Linked DNA regions of Caenorhabditis elegans. The protein of the gene in region 2 purifies or fractionates together with the protein of the main gene of each other region. This does not show direct contact. Each region holds a gene or a part of one and is shown on either strand. Other genes may lie near its edges.

The links.
Region 1: the proteins of cdo-1 (region 2) and F58D5.9 fractionate together in Caenorhabditis elegans (co-fractionation; one large-scale study listed by BioGRID). This does not show direct contact.
Region 3: the proteins of cdo-1 (region 2) and K08D9.4 fractionate together in Caenorhabditis elegans (co-fractionation; one large-scale study listed by BioGRID). This does not show direct contact.

The regions. Positions count from the first base shown.
Region 1 is NC_003279.8:12,044,575-12,048,247, reverse strand, and holds F58D5.9 (Cystatin domain-containing protein), read left to right. Parts: upstream 1-1,629; 5' UTR 1,630-1,654; coding exon 1,655-1,979; intron 1,980-2,223; coding exon 2,224-2,299; intron 2,300-2,350; coding exon 2,351-2,451; intron 2,452-2,851; coding exon 2,852-3,012; 3' UTR 3,013-3,047; downstream 3,048-3,673. Other genes in the region: ksr-2 (Kinase suppressor of Ras B), read left to right, coding at 72-363.
Region 2 is NC_003284.9:861,625-865,397, forward strand, and holds cdo-1 (Cysteine dioxygenase 1), read right to left. Parts: upstream 1,955-3,773; 5' UTR 1,951-1,954; coding exon 1,805-1,950; intron 1,583-1,804; exon of another isoform or gene 1,561-1,582; intron 1,489-1,560; coding exon 1,408-1,488; intron 1,357-1,407; coding exon 1,205-1,356; intron 1,100-1,204; coding exon 996-1,099; intron 949-995; coding exon 859-948; 3' UTR 808-858; coding exon of another isoform or gene 711-807; 3' UTR 643-710; downstream 1-642. Other genes in the region: F56F10.2 (F-box domain-containing protein), read left to right, coding at 362-511, 711-807; lgl-1 (Lethal giant larvae homologue 2 domain-containing protein), read right to left, coding at 3,453-3,590.
Region 3 is NC_003283.11:3,197,989-3,202,462, reverse strand, and holds K08D9.4 (AB hydrolase-1 domain-containing protein), read left to right. Parts: upstream 1-2,039; 5' UTR 2,040-2,049; coding exon 2,050-2,169; intron 2,170-2,220; coding exon 2,221-2,374; intron 2,375-2,427; coding exon 2,428-2,709; intron 2,710-2,802; exon of another isoform or gene 2,803-2,823; intron 2,824-3,364; coding exon 3,365-3,582; intron 3,583-3,628; coding exon 3,629-3,790; 3' UTR 3,791-3,919; downstream 3,920-4,474. Other genes in the region: Y73C8B.5 (EF-hand domain-containing protein), read right to left, coding at 4,130-4,390, 4,438-4,474.

The DNA.
Region 1 (3,673 bases), on a different chromosome or scaffold from region 2:
GTCAAAAAACTATCATTTTTTATATTTAAAGTTTTAAAAATCAATAATTTGAAAATTTTCCCAATTTTCAGTACAATTTTCTTCGAACTCCTGCTCCGCCGTATGCCAACGGGCTGTGACTCTTGGGATCAGAAGCTCTACGCGAAAATGTGCGGCCAAAAAGCGGCACTTCAACGGCTCGACGCCCAGCTGCAAAAAATCGACGGAAAATTGCACGAACTGCTGCTGGAATGCTGGTCGAGCCAACCGGAGAAGCGGCCGAGTTTCCAACAAATTGTGAAGCGAATTACAGTTCAAATGCCGAGAAAAGAGTCGAATAAGCAGAAGAGACGCAGCACGGCACACGAGAATCCACTGTTTTAGTGTGTAGAATTATCGATTTTTTATGTACAGAGAGAGAGAGAGAGAAGAGAAAAGAAGAAGAAATTAGACATTTTATCCATTTAAATACCTATATATATATACAAATATTTATCCTATATTCATCCCTGCCCCTGCCATTGATCTTGTTTCATAATCATATCATAGTTTTATCAGAAAAAGAAAAAAAATCCCATTTTTCCATCATTTTTATCCGCGTTTTCCTATTTTCCTCCAAATTTCCCAAATTAATCCCGCCAAAAAAATTTTTTAATTTAAGTTTAATTTCCCGCCGTTTCCCTTCCTGTGCCATCCTTTTTCCCCCCTGAAAAGAAGCAAAAAACGAGTTTTATATACCACAACCGGATTCCTACTATATTAATTCCAATTTTATCCAATGATTTATTTATATTAAATTATATTTTCTTTTTTTCTACCATTTCTGTGCTGCCTTGAAATTTTTTTGTTCCCGCCTTCCTCCCCTGATATATAGTTATATATAGTTTTTCGACAAATTTTCAATTTTCAAATGAAAATATCGACTTTTTAGTTGGAATTTTTTGGGGATTATCCAGGAGTTTTTTACATATTTCATGTAATTTTATTCGCTGAAAATTGATTGAATTTCAGGATTTTCGCGCGAATTTTGGCTGAAATTGGGCATTTTTACGATTTTTCTCTCAAAAACTTGAAAAATTTAATATTTCCCTTTGAAATTTGCAAAATTAGGTTAAATTAAACCTAATTTTGTAAATTTTCGTTAAAAACCGTTAAACAAACCATTTTATTCAGTTTTACAATGAAAAACTAGCCGCGACGCGACACGCGCCGCTCCGTAAATCTACCCCGGCCGTAGCCGAGTCCAAATGGCCTAATTACCGACTTTTGCATAAAAATTGAGTTTTCAACACGATTTTTTCTCTAAAATTTACAACTTTGGAGAAAAATCGTGAAAAAAGCATTTTGGGCAGGTGTGCGCCTTTAAATTACTGTAACTTCGAACTTTGGTTGCTGTGGAATTTTAACCGATTTTTCATAGTTTTTGATTGAAAAAATTCCTACAGTAATCTTTAAAGGCGCACACCTGCTCGCAGTTCAAAAAAGGCGTGGCGAGACCTGGTACCGTAGTTTTGGCGCGAAAATCACAAAATTTGGCGTCTGGGCCTTAGAATAAGCAAGCGCGGCGCGGTTTTTTTTTGAATTTTTCTCTGTAAAATTTTTTTAAAAATCGCAAAATTCAGGATAAAAACGTCTTGGTAATTTTTTTTTCAGATTCCCCAGGAAGACCCTAAAAATGAAATCTCTTCGAGCAACTAACATCACAACGGCCAAAGCCGTCATCATTAAACCTCCCCACCACGTAATTCTCGGCAAGAAGCATCGCCGACGTGTTGGTGGCAATCTTCGGGATACCGCCATTTTCTGCGACTTTCTGACGTCATTTTGCTACGTGGCAATGGAAAGATGCTCGCCGAGCACGGCGGATTGGCCGAAAATGAAGTTTGGACAGGATTATGAGCATTCGAAATGCCCGGATGCACGATTTCAGCGACACGTTGAAGAAAATTGTCAGCTCGCGGAGCAATATATTGCGGCAGGACGATTATTGGCTTTTGAAGGTTTTTGGGCCTAAAATCTAGATTTTTAATTGATTTTATTGTATTTTTTGCTGTAGAAATGCTTTAAAACCCAGAAATAAAACTTGCGCGTCAAATACAATGCACTGCGTACACTTGCGGTGTTTGCACTGAGTGCATTTTAATTGACGCGCAAATCTTTTTTTCTGCATTTTTTTCGAAATTCTTGAATTTTTTAGCTAATTTCAGATGATTTTTGATTAAAAATAACTTGAAATTCTTCCAGTATGCATGGTAACACCGTCGGAAACTCAACTCGTCGGATTTCGTGTCACTATCAGCCGATTGAGGCGCCCTGATGGGTAAATCTTACAGAATTTGATGATTTTTCACTAAAATTTTATAATTTTCAGCCGTAGAAGTCCAAATATCTACGCCAGGCTCTCAGCGATTCTGGAGAAGGTTCGAACGATGGAAATTACGGAAAAATTGGATACAATGATGAGCTCCTGCAGTGAGTTGGCCAAAAAAAAAATCTTCTGAAAATGGGCCAAAATCGACGAAAAAAAAAACCATAAAATATGACTTCTCCAGTCAAAATCGGCAAAAAATGCACCAAAATCGACCAAAATTTACGTAATATTCGCTGAAAATGGTTTTTTAATCCAATTTCCACATATTTCTGAAAATTTTTGTCGATTTAGCTTATTTTCCACCGATTTAAACGGAAAATTCTCAAAAAACGACGAAAATTTGCGAAAAAATGGGAAAAATTCATTAAAAATTGTAAAAAAAATTATTTTTTTATTCAACTTCGCCAGTTTTTTGCAAAAAATTCTATCGATTTTGGCCTATTTTCCAGCGATTTGGGCTAAAAATTCCCAAAAAACGGGAAAAAAATTCAAATTTTCCAGAATATCGCCCTCGAATCCGCCTTCTCGCCCGTCTTCGCCCCCAATCCAAACGGAAAGCCGACAAATCCAAAGTGGCCGATAAATCTCAAACTTTTTCTCTTCCAATTTCAAATTCCATTCGATTAATGTACACTGGAATCTCATTTTATGCTTTTATGTAATTCTGAATTTTTGAAAAAAAACACAATATTTTTTTAGATCACAACGTATTTATTACTTCTTCTTCTTTTCAAGAAAAATAGTCCAGACAAGCCTAATGAGAGCCTGAAAGCCTGGAAATTTTGTCTTGATAGTGATCTATTCGATTTCAGTGAAAAAAATCGCAATCCGTACAGATGGTAGAGGTGGAAATGCGCAAAAAACGCCAAAATCTCAGTGGAAAGTTGGCAAATTTTCGGGAAATCGCAAATTTCGCGAGAGAAATTTGATACTTTTCCCAAAAAATAGCCAAGAAACAGGAAAAAAGATGGAAAAAAAAGTGGGAAGGAATGCGAAAACCTGGGAGATCGAGGTTCGACTCGCGCGAAAATTTAAAAATTAAGGCTTCTGAGAGATTTAAATGAATGGGTGGGTGGGTGAGGGGGAAAATTTAAAATTTTCAAAAAAAACCAATAGACTAGAGAACAAATTTAGCCGGGATTACTGTAGCAGCTAAACTGTGTGGATTATATATATTAAAAGATTATAAGATATTGATAGATATATAGGATTACTGTAGACTGTAGGCTTGGTTACTGTAGGATAGTGTGACCAGACTCGGGGGGATATGAACATTAAAATATGACGTGGCGAGACAGAGAGAGACAGAGAGAGATAGAGTGA
Region 2 (3,773 bases):
CATATTACCTAAACGACCATAACAATCGAAATGACAGAAATGACAGAAGATGTCAATTTGATTTTTCGCATTGAAAATACCTTGTTCATAGCTTGCAATAAATTTAACGCGTTGACCACATCATCACCTTTGAAAAATAAACTTGAGGACAAAGTCTCATAAATAACTAAAATTGTTTTTTGGTAATGCGGTATTTAAAACAATTATTGTGCTAGCCAACAACTTGTAATGTCCTGATAAAGAAAATTAGCGCACCGATCAAACTTTGTAATGCACTGAAAACTTTGACCCTGACCAGATTTTTCCACAAAATTCAATATACCAGATTTTTTACGAGATATCAAAATTTATAACTTTGCAGCGCAATTCTAAATGGATCTCCAGTGGAAACCATTGATCTAGGCACATGCTTCCTATCAAGTGAAGCTGTATCCCAAATTGTGCAAAGCTGGGAGCAAACTTCAACCAGCGACTTGACCATCATGTTGAGTCATTGTTATCCGGTCAACAAGTGAGTAAACACTCCATTTTTTTCGGTTTTAATTGTTCTAATGAGTACTTTTCACTTTGCAAGAAGTGTCTTTTGTTTCAATTTTCTTTGAGACTTCCTTGTTTTACGCGGTTTGAAAAAGTTTAAAAAAATACCACCGAAATAATTCATTGCAACAAAATCACACAATTTTTCAAGATCACAGTTATATTTTTTGCAGACCGGATGTGATCCGACTTCTACAGGATCGTAATATCACACTGAAGAAAAATCAACAATTACATTCCAAGAACCATATGCTGACACTTGTCTGTTAATGAAGATTATAATAAAGAATCAACACGTTATTACATTGAGGGATATGTTGTTTAATTGCCATTCTTAGATCCTCTGTAGTCAACTTTCTTGCCGTACTTTGAGTAGAATGTGACGGTGCATTGCGTTTTCTTTCCGGTTCTCTGAAATATATTCAAAAAATATTAAAAGCCTTCGCCGATTGACTAACCTCATCGAATGCATTGCAAGTACTATATGGAGGGATGTACAAGTGAAGAGAGACAGCTCCGTTTGAGTGACTCAAATTTTCCATTCTATGAAGACCAAGCTCATCTGAAAAATTGCAATGAAGTTGTTATTATGTTCCTAGCATTGTTTTCAAGTTTAGGCAACCATGTTGTAAAAGACAGATGCATTAAGTGTTTTCAAATATCTTACCATTCATATAGGAAACTCCATTCATTCCATAAGTCTTATTTTCTGAAATATCAAGTGGCACGTGTCGTTTTCTTGGCCAGGCATATTTGGTCTCAGTGAGCTCTCCATCAAGAATTTTCACAAAGCAATGAGCATCAGTATGATCGTGAACACTAAATTTCGTAAAATGAATGTTATATGATGATAAATCTCAGTTAACGTACCTGCTAGCCATACCGGGGCCCCAACACAAAATCATCAAGTTGTACTTTCCATTTCCAACATCCACTAGGTTTCTTGTGTATCTGTAAAAAAATAGTAAATTTTCGTGAAAAGACTTTTACCAAACTGACTTGAATTTATACTGTTCTAGTTCTATTTTCACCATCCTCTGCTAAATAATTGTTCGAAAAATGTTTTCTAATTTTATGAATTTGGTAAAAATGTTAAGATTTTCAATATTTCTTTTAACAGAACCAAACACCAATATAATACATCACGATCATTCATAATTTCCGAAGAATTCTAAAAATTACGCAGATCTTAAAAGTAGATTAGTCTGTAATCTCATCTTCCCCCAAAAATGCATTTCAATTTTTTCTGGAACAAACCAGCACTCACTTGTTCATATCGAAAATGGCAAATCTTCGCCACTCATTTGCGTTGCTTTTGTATGAAGCCATCAGCTTCATCACTTCGTCAACATCTATCAATTTCTGTTGGAAGATTTCACGAATTTGAACAACTAACTGAACAAATGATATCATTTTTCTGAAAACAGGAATGTTGTCATATTGAATAGTAAATAAAAAAAAAGTTGAAAATAAAATAAATAAACTCCTAAAGAAAATTTACTAACTGAAAAAAAGTAATGAAATAATACGAATCATAATTTCTTAGACGTCTCCAATAGGAATAAACAACTTCTAGTAAACCACCAAAAGCTTGGGGAACAATAATCCTATCAATGTTTCGAATGTTCAGAATAATCGGAAAAAATTGATATGATAGTTACCAAATTTGCAGAACACGGTTTTTTAGGCTCACATGCATAATGATACTCGTTTTGTGAACTGACCAAAAATAGATATTCACTGACCAAAAATAGACATGCACTGACCAAAAATAGATATGCACTGACCAAAAATAGATATGCACTGACCAAAAATGGATATGCACTGACCAAGAAACGTTAAGGACTAACCATCATAAAAATCACTAGGAATCCTGTTAGATAATAAATATAACTGTACACAATACACTTAGACTGACAAGCTCAAAATCTAAAAAACTTTATAATAAAATGTTATCAGTTACAATTACAGTAGTCACACATACAAGTAACGGCGAAATGCGAAGGGGAACACAACGTGACAAAACCAGTCATTTACAATAAGAAATCGCTAATCGACCATCGTTAACAGTTAAGGGAGAAGGAGATACTTTGTGAAAGAAAATATGAAAACGACGACAGATTGAATTAATAGTGACACTTAATGAGTGGAAACAAGAGAAAAAAGATAGAATCGGAAAAAGATCGGCAAAGCATTGCGAAAAATAAACTGTATGTCTATGTCTGCCACGTGAGATTCTGGTTTTTTCTTCTTTTGGAAATAATTTTTTGTTTGTTAGGTTGAACATTTAAACTTTTAGAAGTTCGAAATCCAACTGATCAGATTCAGTATTTATTAGGTGATTAGTGTTATCACAAGTTACCGTTACAAAGGGGCGTGGTTTGGAAATGACGTCATCTGATGTGAAACTGATGGCGTTAGTCGACTAATATCTTATCTTATCAGACAAAACCTTTGCAATTGTCACGTAAGCAAGGCATTTTTGTAGTTTACAGTAATATCGGGACTTCCCGTTCTTGAAGTTTTGAAAATTGGAGATCGATCTGGAAGGGAGTTATGTACAGGCATCTAGTAATTTTGAAGAGGCAACTATTGACAATCTTTAAAGTTTTATTTTTAAAAATTAGATTTGATAGGTATTAAAGAAACACTCTCCTAGAAATTATAGATTCTTCAATTTTTCCAAACGTACAAAAAATACGAATTTTTCCATTTTCTCTAATCGCCTGCAATAGTGTAGCATGTTTCAAAAATTAAAAATCGTTTAAAATTAGTTTTTCATACGCAACGTATATATTGACAAAAAAGGCAAAGACCGAGGGCAAATAAATAACATAATAAAGTTTAAAAAAAACCACCATTTCAAACAAAATTAATATATATCAACAGGAAAACGATTTTTAAAAAAAATGCATCTATGACTTGTGCGTACTGCTCCAACCGCGAAAGTTCAAATTCACCGTACTTCGCTGTAGTTCGGAGGATTTGATGAGGAATGCCACGTCACCATCACGTGATAAACAACTCGAGTTTAGTGCCATTACGTCGATTGGCTGAAAAATTCTAGTTTAGAACGGAGAAAAGCAAAATTAGACATTGTGCAGGAAACTTAACCACTTCTCAGCGCCACCTATGCGTTGACCTTTCAGAATTTTCAGAAGGCAACACGTGCACACTTGGCGCGTGCTAGCGGCTGGCTTAAAAAACAACCAAAAACAAAAAAGAAATCCGTCGAA
Region 3 (4,474 bases), on a different chromosome or scaffold from region 2:
TGGTTGGCAAACTATTTTTTCCGGCAAATCGGCAAATTGCCGGAATCGAAGCTGCCGGCAATATACCGCAATGAAATTTCCGGCAAATCGGCAAACCGGCAAATCACCCAAATTGTCGTTTTGTACAGTTTTTTTTTTGGAAATTTCAGAATTTCAATTTTAATCGGCAAAATTGTACGCATTCTATGAATGTTCCTACATCTGTTTCGAAAAGTACACAAATTCTATGAAATTATCTGAAGACAACGGGGAAAAAAATTTCAAAAAGGCGCAAATTTAAGTGTTTCGGTTTCATAAATAATTCCCTCTAAACACTTCCCGCAAATTGGTGTTCGGCAAACGGCAAATCGGCAAATAGCCTGAATTGAAAATATCCGGCAAATCGACAAACCGGCAAGTTGCCGGAATTGAAAATATCAGGAAAACCGGCAGTTTGCCGATTTGCCGAGTTTGTCGACAAAATTTGCCAAAATTGCCAAATGGCAATTGCCGCCCACCTATTGCCGGTTCAGTATTTTAATGAAACACTTCAAAATTTTAACATTTTTCAACATTTTCAGTCAAATTTTTGGTGAAAAAAATTCGAGAATCGCTGGTTTAAACCCTCACCAATAATTAAAAAATATTTGAAACACCATTGAATCCGCTCGTTGAAATTTTTAAAAGTTGTTTTTTTTTAATTTTTGAAAAATTTTACTACGATTTTTTTTTTCAATTTTAGGAAATTCATGTAGTTGCTTGAATTTTTTCCTTCCTCTTTCTGAATTTTTTTTGTATTTTTTGAAAATTCGGAAATAAAGGCTGTCAAAAAATGTAATTTTACAATAAATTGTATTCTCGCTTTTACATATTGAATTGAATTGAATTTATTACGATTGAAATCATGATAATAAACGTAATAAACATACGATAATAAACATACAGAAAACTAATAAACATACAGAAAATGAATTATCATCTGAAAAGTTGATTAGTTGGTACATGAATGTGCGGGTGTCAGGGAGATGAATAATGGGTAAAAGTATTAAACATGCATAGGACATGAGGTGCCAAAATAAGATTCATTGCGCAAGATTCATTGCGAAATAAGATTCATGTCCGAAGTTGACTTTTTTGGAATTATCGTCCTTTATTACATATATTGGTAGTTTATCTCATTTACTTTCGTTGATATAAGGTATATTTAAAGCCGATAGGTAACCAATTTCGATAATTTTTGGTTCCATATCGGCTAATATAACATACATAACATACATAACATGTGATATAACATACATATCTGAAAAGTCCCCTATTTTTGACAAAAAAACAACACCCAAAAATACCAGAAATGTCAAAAACTGCAGCGACCGACATCTTGTGAGTTCGCTTTTCCTGATATACTTCAATTGACTGGTTTAAAAACTCAGCTATCGATGGGCAAATTTTCGGCAAGTTTTCGGCATCAGGCGACCAAATTGCAAATCTTCGCAGTTGGCCAAACGTATAATTTTGTTGAACTCATATTTTAGAGCTTTTTTCAGTTTACAGTGTAATTTTTGCATTTTTCTGAATGCGAATTTTTTTTTCTCAAATTTTCACGTCTTCACACAGTTGCAACTCAATGTCAATTGTTAGACGGTTATTTTTTGATTTTCTTTTGGCCAGAAAAAATTGTCCAAAAAGCTTGTTTTTTTATCAAATGTAAAAAAAAACTCATCTAATAGTAAAGCTAAAATTTTATTCCAGTAGGGTCCAGAGTACCCGATGGGCACACCGGCCACACTCCAACTACACAGCTGACCCGCGCTTCTCTCCTCTTTTTCGTTTGGGTACGCAGTTGACGTCATATCTTCTTTCTTTTTTTACATGCCAGCTTCATGTTGTGCTTTATATTTTGTCTTTTTGATTTTCCAGCAATCGTTGTATTTTTTACGTTTCTAGTACAAAAATGGAGAAGGTCAGATTTTTTTTTCTAAACACAAATTTGATTAAATTTGATAATATCTCGTGAATAAAAATGTTTCAAATTGGTGATTTATGATACAAATTCTTTCAAGAAAATCAATAATGATTATGTCAAAAGGAGCATTTTCCACGCTACCCGCCACCGAGCCGAAGTTGTATTCAAAGTTGGTGCAGTTCCAAACCAAAAGGAGAAGATTGGTAGATTTAAATGCAGTTTATGAGGTAGGTTGACACTGAAATACTGATTTCTCAATTTAAAAGTCAGTTTTTCAGGACTCATTATCATCTGGCTCCCCATTGGGTACTGTGATTGGATTCCATGGAACTCCAGGGTCTCACAGGGATTTCAAGTATGTCAGGCAGCGATTGGAGCACATGAATATTAGATTTATTGGTATTAACTACCCAGGATTCAAGCAAACTCCAGGTAGTTTCAGTTAATTAATAAAAAACCATCAAATAATTAAAAATAAATTTCAGCGTACCCAGGTCAACACTTCGGAAACTGGGAACGAAATAGTTACTCAGAAGCTCTGTTAAACGAGCTAGATGTGCCGGGAAAAGTGATCATAATGGGGCATAGCAGAGGATGTGAGAATGCACTGATAACAGCAGCTAATCGGAAACCTCATGGACTAGTGATGGCTAATCCAACAGGGTTGAGGATTAATAAAGGGTCTCGTCCGAAGGGAAAGTTGGAGTCGCTGATTTATTTACATAAGAAATTGCCGAAAAAGATTGGAGATGCCATTTTGTATAATTGTGAGTATAAGCAAAATGAGAAATATGCCATAGGCCACTACCAAAAAATGTTTCAATGTGGTGTTTTACTACTGTTGAGGCTCGTCAAAATGCTTGAAAGTTGGATTTTTTCATAAACTTTTTCATTTTGGGAGCGTTTTTGATTAAAAAAAAAGCAAAAATCTGAAAAGTTTTCTGGATGTTGCCTACCCCTAGAGCAATTTTACGAGCTTCAGAACAATTGGAAAAATGTCCTGTAAAAATAAAATTTGAGATCGGAAATTTTCTAGTTCAAAACGCAGCAAAATTATTGGTAGTGGCTTATTTAAAGTGTAGTTTTGGCAGTTTAGGAATACGTATTTTCGTTAGACCTAAGTTTTTAAAAGTGGTGTACCGAAATCTGAGACTTTACTTTTTTAGATCCAAAATGACCCAAAACTACCAAATTTCGTAATGAGATGTTCTGAAAATTTTTCAAATAAAAGTTATGTCGGCTCAATGTTTTAGAAAAAACCCGTTTTTGAGAAACTTTCAAAACATCTCATTATGAAAGTCGATGGTTTTGGGTCATTTTGGGTCTAAATAAGCAAAGTCTCAAATTTCGGTACTCCACCTTTAAAGGATGTTCGAAATTTTCAGGGATACTTCAGATCTTATAAATTATTTCAATTTCCAGTAATGAAATTGGTTGGATTCAAAATTCATGATGGTGAAGAAGCCGTGGCGGTTATTCGAGCAATTATGAACTGTGACCTGGAAAAGCAACTGGAATACATTCTGAAATTAAATGAACTGCCCACAAAGACTATGATCACTTTTGGCGGAAGTGATCATTTAATTGAAAAGGAAATTGTTTTTGAAGCACTCAAAAAGTATCAGGGACTCGCGCATTTTGTAAGTTTTGTGATAGAAAAACTTGAAAAATTGGAAGGAATTTCAGAATTTCAAAGCGAATATCACAGAATCCGAAAAGCAGAAAATAATGGAAAGTTTCAAAAATCAAAAAGGAACATCTGTATTTATTGCAAAGGATAATCATTTTCAAAATAAGAAGCGGGCGGATTTATTGGCAGATGCTGCTAGATCAATGTTATTAAATTAATGTTTTGAAATTTTCAAATTGTTTAACTTTACAAACAAAAGGGAAATCTGCAACATGAACAATATTTTCAACGACTATAATTTGAGAACTGTAATAGTAATTTTATTCAATAATAAACTTACAAAAAATATTTAGCTTTTGAAATACTGCCCCAGAAAAAGTCAGCAAAAATTACAAAAGACAACGAATTTTAGGTGAACCAAAGTTTTTAATCGGCAAAAAAAAGAGTTTTTCAATTGAAGGTTGATGAAATATTTATTCAAAGTTTTTTAGGGAAGATAATACTTATAAACGAGAGGATAAGAGGAGGAAACTGGAAAATTTGAGGTTGGTGATTCTCTAAAGAGAAGGATTTACAGCTCTGGTTACATCGATGAGCTCATCTAAATCAACTTGACCATTTCTGTCGATATCGGTGTAACGGAAAGTTTTGCGAATCCCTTCGGCAGACAGCCGTGCTTGAAAGTTGCTGAAGAGGGGTTCCAGTTCAGCAACAGAGATGAAGCCATTTCCGTCTTCGTCAAACTCTTGGAACACCTTTTTAAAATTCTCTTCACTCTGTGCCAAGCCTCTTAGCGACAACATAGCTCCTGTTAGCTCCTGTAAAGCATCTATACAAATTGTTTCGAACATTATTAAAAACTCACTCCAAGAGCCTCATTATCCTGAGAACTTCCAAAATTT